Canis lupus familiaris: one gene and its partner. The protein of the gene in region 1 purifies or fractionates together with the protein of each later gene. This does not show direct contact. Links are inferred from orthologs where the notes say so. Each region holds a gene or a part of one and is shown in the gene's direction. Other genes may lie near its edges.

What was found. Proteins that work in one complex are often made in the same cells at the same time.
Region 2: the proteins of OSBPL8 (region 1) and GLG1 purify together in Homo sapiens (co-immunoprecipitation; 3 studies listed by BioGRID and IntAct, with this or other methods). This does not show direct contact. The link is inferred for Canis lupus familiaris from reciprocal best matches to the Homo sapiens genes OSBPL8 and GLG1.

The regions. Positions count from the first base shown.
Region 1 is NC_049236.1:19,605,503-19,609,763, reverse strand, and holds the start of OSBPL8 (oxysterol-binding protein-related protein 8), read left to right. Parts: upstream 1-1,362; 5' UTR 1,363-1,468; intron 1,469-4,261. UniProt on the Homo sapiens protein: Lipid transporter involved in lipid countertransport between the endoplasmic reticulum and the plasma membrane: specifically exchanges phosphatidylserine with phosphatidylinositol 4-phosphate (PI4P), delivering phosphatidylserine to the plasma membrane in exchange for PI4P, which is degraded by the SAC1/SACM1L phosphatase in the endoplasmic reticulum.
Region 2 is NC_049226.1:76,731,185-76,734,830, forward strand, and holds part of GLG1 (Golgi apparatus protein 1), read left to right. Parts: intron 1-240; coding exon 241-378; intron 379-2,595; coding exon 2,596-2,719; intron 2,720-3,590; coding exon 3,591-3,646. UniProt on the Homo sapiens protein: Binds fibroblast growth factor and E-selectin (cell-adhesion lectin on endothelial cells mediating the binding of neutrophils).

The DNA.
Region 1 (4,261 bases):
GGTCTCTAAGCCTCTGGGTCTCCTGGCCTCCGGGTCTCTAGGCCTCTGGGTCTCCCGGCCTTTGGGTCTCTAGGCCTCTAGGCCTCTAGGTCTCCCGGCCTTTGGGTCTCTAGGCCTGCCTCTGGGTCTCCGGGTCTCTGTGCGTCCAAGTCTCCAGGCCTCTGTGCCTCTGGGTCTGTAGGCCTCTGGGTCTCCTGGCCTCTGGGTCTCTAGGCCTCTGGGTCTCTGTCTCTGTGCCTCCGGGTCTGTAGGCCTCTGGGTCTCTAGGCCTCTGGGTTTCCTGGCCTCCGTGCCTTCCAGCCCCTGGGTCTCCGGGCCTCCAGGCCGGGTCTCTGTGCCTCCAGGTCTCTAGGCCTCTGGGTCTCCTGGCCTCCAGGTCTTTGGGCCTCCATGCCTGCGGGTCTCTAAGCCTCGGGGTCTCCCGGCCTCCGGGTCTCTGGGCCTCTGGGTCTCCCGGTCTCTAGGCCTCTGGGTCTCCTGGCCTCCGGGTCTATGGGCCTCCATGCCTGCGGGTCTCTAAGCCTCGGGGTCTCCCGGCCTCCGGGTCTCTGGGCCTCTGGGTCTCCCGGTCTCTAGGCCTCTGGGTCTCCTGGCCTCCGGGTCTATGGGCCTCCATGCCTGCAGGTCTCTAAGCCTCGGGGTCTCCGGGCCTCTGTGCCTCCGGGTCTGTAGGTCTCTGGGTCTCTGGGTCTCCCGGCCTCGGGGTCTCTAAGCCTCTGGGTCTCCTGGCCTCTGTGCCTCCGGGTCTCTGGGCCTCCATGCCTGCGGGTCTCTAAGCCCCTGGGTCTCTAGGCCTCTGGGGCCTCCGGGCCTCCGGGCCTTCCGGCCTCACGGCGCGGTCGTGGGATCCCGAGCCCTGCCCAGGCGCCGCGCGGTGCAGTCTCCTCGGATTAGGCGGGGCCCTGTGAGGCGGGTCCAGGAGGCCTCCCCACGCAGGTCGCAGGCAATCCCGCGGCGCAGACAGCTGCTCCCGCGCCGCCGCCGCCCGGCCCGGCCCGGCCCGCAGGGGGGCGCCGCCGCCGCCGCCGCCTCCTCCGCGCGCGGGCACGTGACGGGAAGGTGGGGCTGGGCTGGAGCCCGCGAGCGGGGGCGTGGCCTGCGGGGGCGTGGCCTGCGGGGGGCGGGCGCTCGGACGGGAAGGCTCGCGGCGGCCCCAGGCGCCCGGAGCGGCGGCGACGCGGCGGATGACAGCATTAGGGCGCGACGCGCTCGGGGCCGGGCGGCGGCGGGAGCGGTCGTGCGAGCGCCTGCAGCGGTAGTTGTGTCCGCGGCTGTGGCCGCAGCCGGGGTCGGCGGGATCGGCGGACGGGGGCAGCGCGGGCTCGGGCTTCCCGGCCCCTCGCGGCAGAGCCGGCAGCGCCGCGCCCCAGCCGCCGCCCGCCACAGCCGCCGGAGGGAGTTGGGGTCCGCCGGGCGCGGGCAGGGCCCCGGCACCCCGCCTCCGCGCCTCCCCGGGGGCTCCGCTCCGGTGAGTGTGTGTGTCGTCCGCCCCGCGCCCGGCGGACGGGGGCTCCCGGGGCTCCCGGGGCTCCCGGGGCTCCCGGGGCTCTCGGGGACGCCGGGCTGTCGCGCAGCCGCCCTTGCGGGGCCGCGGGGCTCGGGGCCGGGCGGAGAGCCGGGCCCTGGGCGCCGCGGCAGGCGGGACGCGGCGGGAGGGCGCTGGCCTCCTCTCCCCTCCGCTCCCCTCCGCTCCCCTCTCCTCCCCTCTCCTCCCGCTGCTTCCCTCCCCTCCCCTCCCCTCCTCTCCCCACGTCTCCCGTCCCTTCCCCTCCTCTCCCCTCCTCTTCTCTCTTCTCCCCTCCGCTCCTCCCCTCCTCTCCGCTCCCCTCCTCTTTTCTCCCCTCCGCTCCCCTCTCCTCCCTCCCCTCCTCTATGCTCCTCTCCGTTCCCCTCTTCTCCGCTCCCCTCCTCTTCTCCCCTCCACTCCCCTCCCCTTCTCTTCTCCCCTCCCGTCTCCTCCCCTCCCCTCCCTCCTCTCCTTTCCTTGTCGGAAATGACAGAGGATCTGCTCTCCTCCTTAAACAGATGGGGAGAGTTACCCACCTGATGATGGTGTCGAGCATATTTGCATTGGAATTAATGAAGTTTTTTGCCTTTCTAGTGCTGCAGGTCCCGAGTGACTTCTCCTTACGAGAATACCCTTCGTAGGGTAGGACTGTTCGTTTTTTTTTTTTTTTTTTTTTTTTTTTTTTGAACTTTCCCTGAAACGTAGCCTCCAATTAGTGCCAGCCTTAGGTCTTTGCAGATAATCTTTTAAAAGTTGTTATCAAAAAAAAAAAAAAAAAAAAGTTGTTGTCATCGTCTTAGCCTCAAATTAGTGCCAACTTTAGGTCTTTGCAGATAATCGTTTAAAAGTTGTTGTTATAAAAAAATAAGTTGTCATCATTTTAACTTAGCCTCAAATTAGTGCCAACTTTATTTAGGTCTTTGCAGATAATCGTTTAAAAGTTGTTGTCATCGTTGTAACTTAGCCTCCAGTTAGTACCAGCTTTAGATCTTTGCAGATAATCGTTTAAAAGTTGTTGTTTGTTGGTTTTTTTGTTTTTGTTTTTTGTTTGTTTTGGGGTTTTTTTGCCTCCTTTAGAACTCCAAGGAAAGCAAGGGTGGTAAAGGGACTCGGGTGAATTGCCCGTTAGATCTTCCTCATTCCATCAGGTGTCCTTTGAAGTTGTCCTGCGGCGGGACTGTGGTTCAGTTTTTAATGCTTTGCTGGAGCTAGAACCCGTCTTGCGGTGAAAACGAGATCATGCTAGTTTTATAAAATCAGGTTGGGGGGAAAGGAGAATAAGGATATGCAGTTTCTCCTTTATAGGAATACAGCTGGTTTCAAGTCCTTCTTGCCCTCCATCTCCCCCGCCTCCCCCTTTTTTTATAGCAACGGTGTGTGGAACGACTACAGTGTACCTGCTCAAAGTACCGGGAGAGGGAATAGATGAAACACAAGAACTACCTTTTAGGTCTTTAATTATGGAGATTAGGTTGTTGCGGTCGAATTCCAAATTCCACGCGAGCCGTTTGAGCCACAGCGCGTTGTACACAGCTGCTTAGAGATGGTTGTTTAATTAAAAATGGTCATGGTTTATTTCTCTCTTGTTGCATATTAATATAGTATCCGATCTGGGAAGCGCGCTGTTGTCCCTTTTCAGTTAGAGTATCCTTACATGTTAGAGGCAAATATATTTCTTACAGCAGCACATGTATGGCACTGGGGAATTTGGCAAGATCTCGTTTCTTTGTTCATTTTTAAATTGAAAGCCCGTATACTGGTGGGGATAAATACACAATTCTGTGTGATGAAGTTATGTTTTAGTTTTGATTTAAGAAAAAAAAAAGATACGATGACGATTTCACCAAATCTGCATTACAAAAGGATCAGTCTTGTTAAAAGACAAATTACAGAATTTCTTTAGCCACTGCTCTAAGTACATTTAAGCGTGTTTTGGTTTATAAATAATCCTTCAAGAGCAGATTACTTGGAGCATGAGTGACAAAATAAGGGATTGATACTTAGATGTAGTTTTCTGATTTTGTGGAAAATTCTTTCCCTAATAGCAATACCTGAAGTATTATATTTGGATATAATATATAAAGATGAACACATTTATGGCAATGATCTTGGAGCAGCAGGGGATTCAAAAGTAGAAGGCTTATTCTTATGAATATGATGTACGTGTAATCCATAAATGCAACTTGAAGTCTCTGAATATGCGTTAATGGATGTGGCTGGACAGGTTGTGGCTTAACTGGACCAATTGTGTCTAAAGTATTTTCTCGTGGATGAGACTCAGGAAGGGATATTTGGACTAGGGTGTAGATGTAGATTTCACATTAGTGTGTGAAATTGAAAGATTTTTAGATTTTTTTCTTTCTTTTTAAGATTTTATTTATTTGACAGAGTATTAGCAAGGGGAGCAGCAGGCAGAAGGAAAAGGAGAAACAGACTCCCTGCCAAGCAGAGAGCCTAATGCCTCAATGTGGGGCTCAGTCCCAGGACCTTGGGATCATGACCTGAGCCCAAGGCAGATGCTCAACCAACTGAGCCACCTAGGTGCCCTAGATCTGTCTGTCCTTCTACTTTGGTTTCTCACTTCCTCATATTTCTTTGAAGGCATGAAGTTAAAGGTCTCACATGGGAGACAGGATAGAAGGAATTTTTCCTCCCTGAAAAATGTTATCAAGTATGCAAAGGAGAAGGCTTTCTTCAGAGACCTTGTTGGGAAGGAATCCTTTATCGTAGAACATCACACTCTTATACCTTCAT
Region 2 (3,646 bases), on another chromosome or scaffold:
CCACTGCAGCCTGCTCAACTCATCCATTATTTTTATACAGTCTGGTTCACTGTTAGCCATCAAGCTGTGAATCTATAAATGTAATTCTCCTTGCTGAGCAAATTCTGATTCCTGTTGCTTAGGAATTAGGAATGGAATGAAAGAGGGGGAGTGCATTCAGGACTGAAGGCTACAGTCAGAGCACATGGATTATCAAGCTCTGGTACACCCCCTAACATGACCATGATTCTTGTGCCCTAGATTATTGAATGTCTGAAAGAAAACAAGAAGCAGCTAAGTACCCGTTGCCACCAGAAAGTTTTTAAGCTGCAGGAGACAGAGATGATGGACCCAGAACTAGACTATACGCTCATGAGAGTCTGCAAGCAGATGATAAAGGTAAGGGATCCAAAACCAGGGGGTAAGCACAGGGTAATTAAAAATAACATCAGGAATCCCTGGGTGGCGCAGTGGTTTGGCGCCTGCCTTTGGCCCAGGGCGCGATCCTGGAGACCCGGGATCGAATCCCACATCGGGCTCCCGGTGCATGGAGCCTGCTTCTCCCTCTGCCTATGTCTCTGCCTCTCTCTCTCTCTCTGTGACTATCATAAATAAAAATTAAAATTAAAAAAAAATAAAAAAATAAAAATAACATCAGCTTCTTTAAACTTCAGAGCAAATTTGTGTAATCTTTCCATTCAACCTTTTTTATACAGATGACACAGTGGTTCTCCTAGTGTGGTCCCTAGACCAGCCACATCAGCATCACCTGGGTACTCAAATGCTTGGGCCCACCTTGTATCTACTGATTCAGAAACTCTAGGAGCGGGGCTGTGAGGTTTAACAAGCCTTTCAGGTGATTTTGATGCAGGCTCAAATTTGAAAACCACTGAGCTAAGCTAACTGACCTCCCTTTTACCTAAGGCCCAAGTGAATAGATAATCAGTGAATATATGATTAGTCTTTTAGGGTGGTTAGTGGTAGGTATACTGAGAAAGCCACCACCAAATGTCCTGATCATCCACCTACCACAATCAAAAGGCTTTTCTGTTCTACGAGTTCTTTTGTTTCATACACTTCTCCAGTAAACATTCTCTGCAGCAGGGCTGACTTGAGAACCTAGATGCCAGTTCCTGGATCTATCCACATAAATAAAGAGAGTCAATCTAAGATTCTGATGCCTTGTTTAAAATAAAATGCTTTATTAAAATCAACCTAAAAATAAAATAATACTTTAAAATAAAATGGTACTTCTTGGGCACCCCATGTGGCTCAGCTATTTAGCGCCACCTTCAGTCCAGGGCCTGATCCTGGAGACCCGGGATCGAGTCCCATGTCAGGCTTCCTTTTTTTTTTTTTTTTTTTTTTTTAATTTTTTTTTTTTTATTATTTATTTATTATGATAGTCACAGAGAGAGAGAGAGGCAGAGACACAGGCAGAGGGAGAAGCAGGCTCCATGCACTGGGAGCCCGATGTGGGACTTGATCCTGGGTCTCCAGAATCGCGCCCTGGGCCAAAGGCAGGCGCCAAACCGCTGCGCCACCCAGGGATCCCCCCATGTCAGGCTTCCTACATGGAGCCTGTTTCTCCCTCTGCCTGTGTCTCTGCCCCCCTCCCCATCTCTCATGAATAAATAAATAAAATCTTTTTAAAAAGTGGTACTTCAGGGGATCCCTGGGTGGCTCAGCGATTTAGCGCCTGCCTTTGGCCCAGGGCGCGATCCTGGAGACCCTGGATTGAGTCCCACATCAGGCTCCCTATATGGAGCCTGCTTCTTCCTCTGCCTGTCTCTGCCTCTCTCTCTCTCTCTCTCTCTCTGTGTGTGTGTGTGACTATCATGAATAAATAAATAAAATCTTTAAAAAAAAAAAAAAGATTTGAGTCCCATGTAAAAGCAGAAATATCAGACTCTGATTTCAGGGCATTGTGTAAGATTTTGATGACTTTTATAAAAATCAGTCAGCAAGCCACGTCAGCAACCTGTATTAAGATATCAGTAGACTTTAATTAGCAGATAGACTGTTGATTAGCACATAGAGATGGAATTTATTATTAGTCCAGAATGGATCTCTCTTACTTGAAGGATATTAACAAGTGTTCAGGGGCTAGCCACACAGTTTAGTAAGATTATAGCCCCTATAGTTAAAAGATGAACTAGACCAGTCCTTTCCCCACATTACTGTTGACATTGACTCGTGGGTGATTTTTAAGTTTCCCATTGGGATTGGGTAGATAGGACTTGTGGGTGACCTGGCCCACCTGGTACAGTGTTATGTTCATACTTAAACAGTATATAAGCTCAGGAGATGACATGTAATATAACAGCCATGTATGTACAGATTCAGTCCTGTGCAAAATAGGAAACAGTGAGGGTAGCAGAACCATGAGAGATATAGTAGAGAATAGATGGATGAAGAAAAGGGAAGTTGAGGCTGGGTGCGTATACAGACTTAGCTGTTTCTCTTGTACCAAGTGATATCTTCAAGCCTGTTCTGTCATTAGAACACCAGTAGGTGAAAGAATGATATGGATGATGTTAATTGCTGTATTTAAATAACTACTTCAAATAAATAAACAAACAAACAAATACTTATGTAAAACTTTATTTCTTGCAGAGGTTCTGTCCAGAAGCAGATTCCAAAACCATGTTGCAGTGCTTGAAGCAAAATAAAAACAGTGAATTGATGGATCCCAAATGCAAACAGATGATAACCAAGCGCCAGATCACCCAGAACACAGGTAACGTCGTGGCCTGGCTTTCCTGGTTCCAACTGAGTATGGCTCCAGTGGAACTGAGTTGATATATACCTCCCTCATTAAACTACAGGAGTTTTGTTGTATGTGGATTTTTAAGGGTAGAATAAGCAAATTGACTTCCTTCTTCAAAGAGTATCTGGGAGATCAGAATGAAAATCATAGGAAGGAGGAGACAGGAGTAATAGCTGGAATTCTTTGAAAAGTCTAGAGATTTAACAAAACTTCGTGCATGGGGTGGGAGAATGTATGGGTCATGTCTTTTAGAACAGAGAAGTTTCTGCTCTGAGTTCCAAGACTTTGTAACATAGTGGGTATTCTCACTCAGTGTTTTCCAAAACATCTGTTATGGGGAAGGTTGGGGATGACTGCTTGATTTTTGTGAGAACTACTACTGGTACCAGCAGACCCTGCAGAGCTGCTGCAAAGGAGAATTTCTGGGGTCTTCGTCTCCACATCTACTCTTTCATTAAGTTCTATTGCTGGTTAAAAGCAGCATAGTTAGGGCAGCCAGGGTGGCTCAGTGGTTTAGTGCCACCTTCAGCCCAGGGCGTGATCCTGGAGACCCAAGATCGAGTCCCACATCGGGCTCCCTACATGGAACCTGTTTCTCCCTTTGCCTGTGTCTCTGCCTCTGTCTCTCTCTCTGTCTCTCTCTCTCTCTGTCTCTCTCATAAATAAATAAAATCTTTAAAAAAAAAAAAAAACAGCATAGTGAGAGCTCAGCCAGTGTTGAGCAAATAAATCAGTGGTTTGTTGTCGTTAACATAAAGTGCCCCCTTTTGAAAGGTAAATCTCTAATATTTGTGAATCAAGGTGGAATATTTTATCATGCACTTCTGACTTTCCACTCTAGATTACCGCTTAAACCCTGTGTTAAGGAAAGCCTGTAAAGCTGACATTCCTAAATTC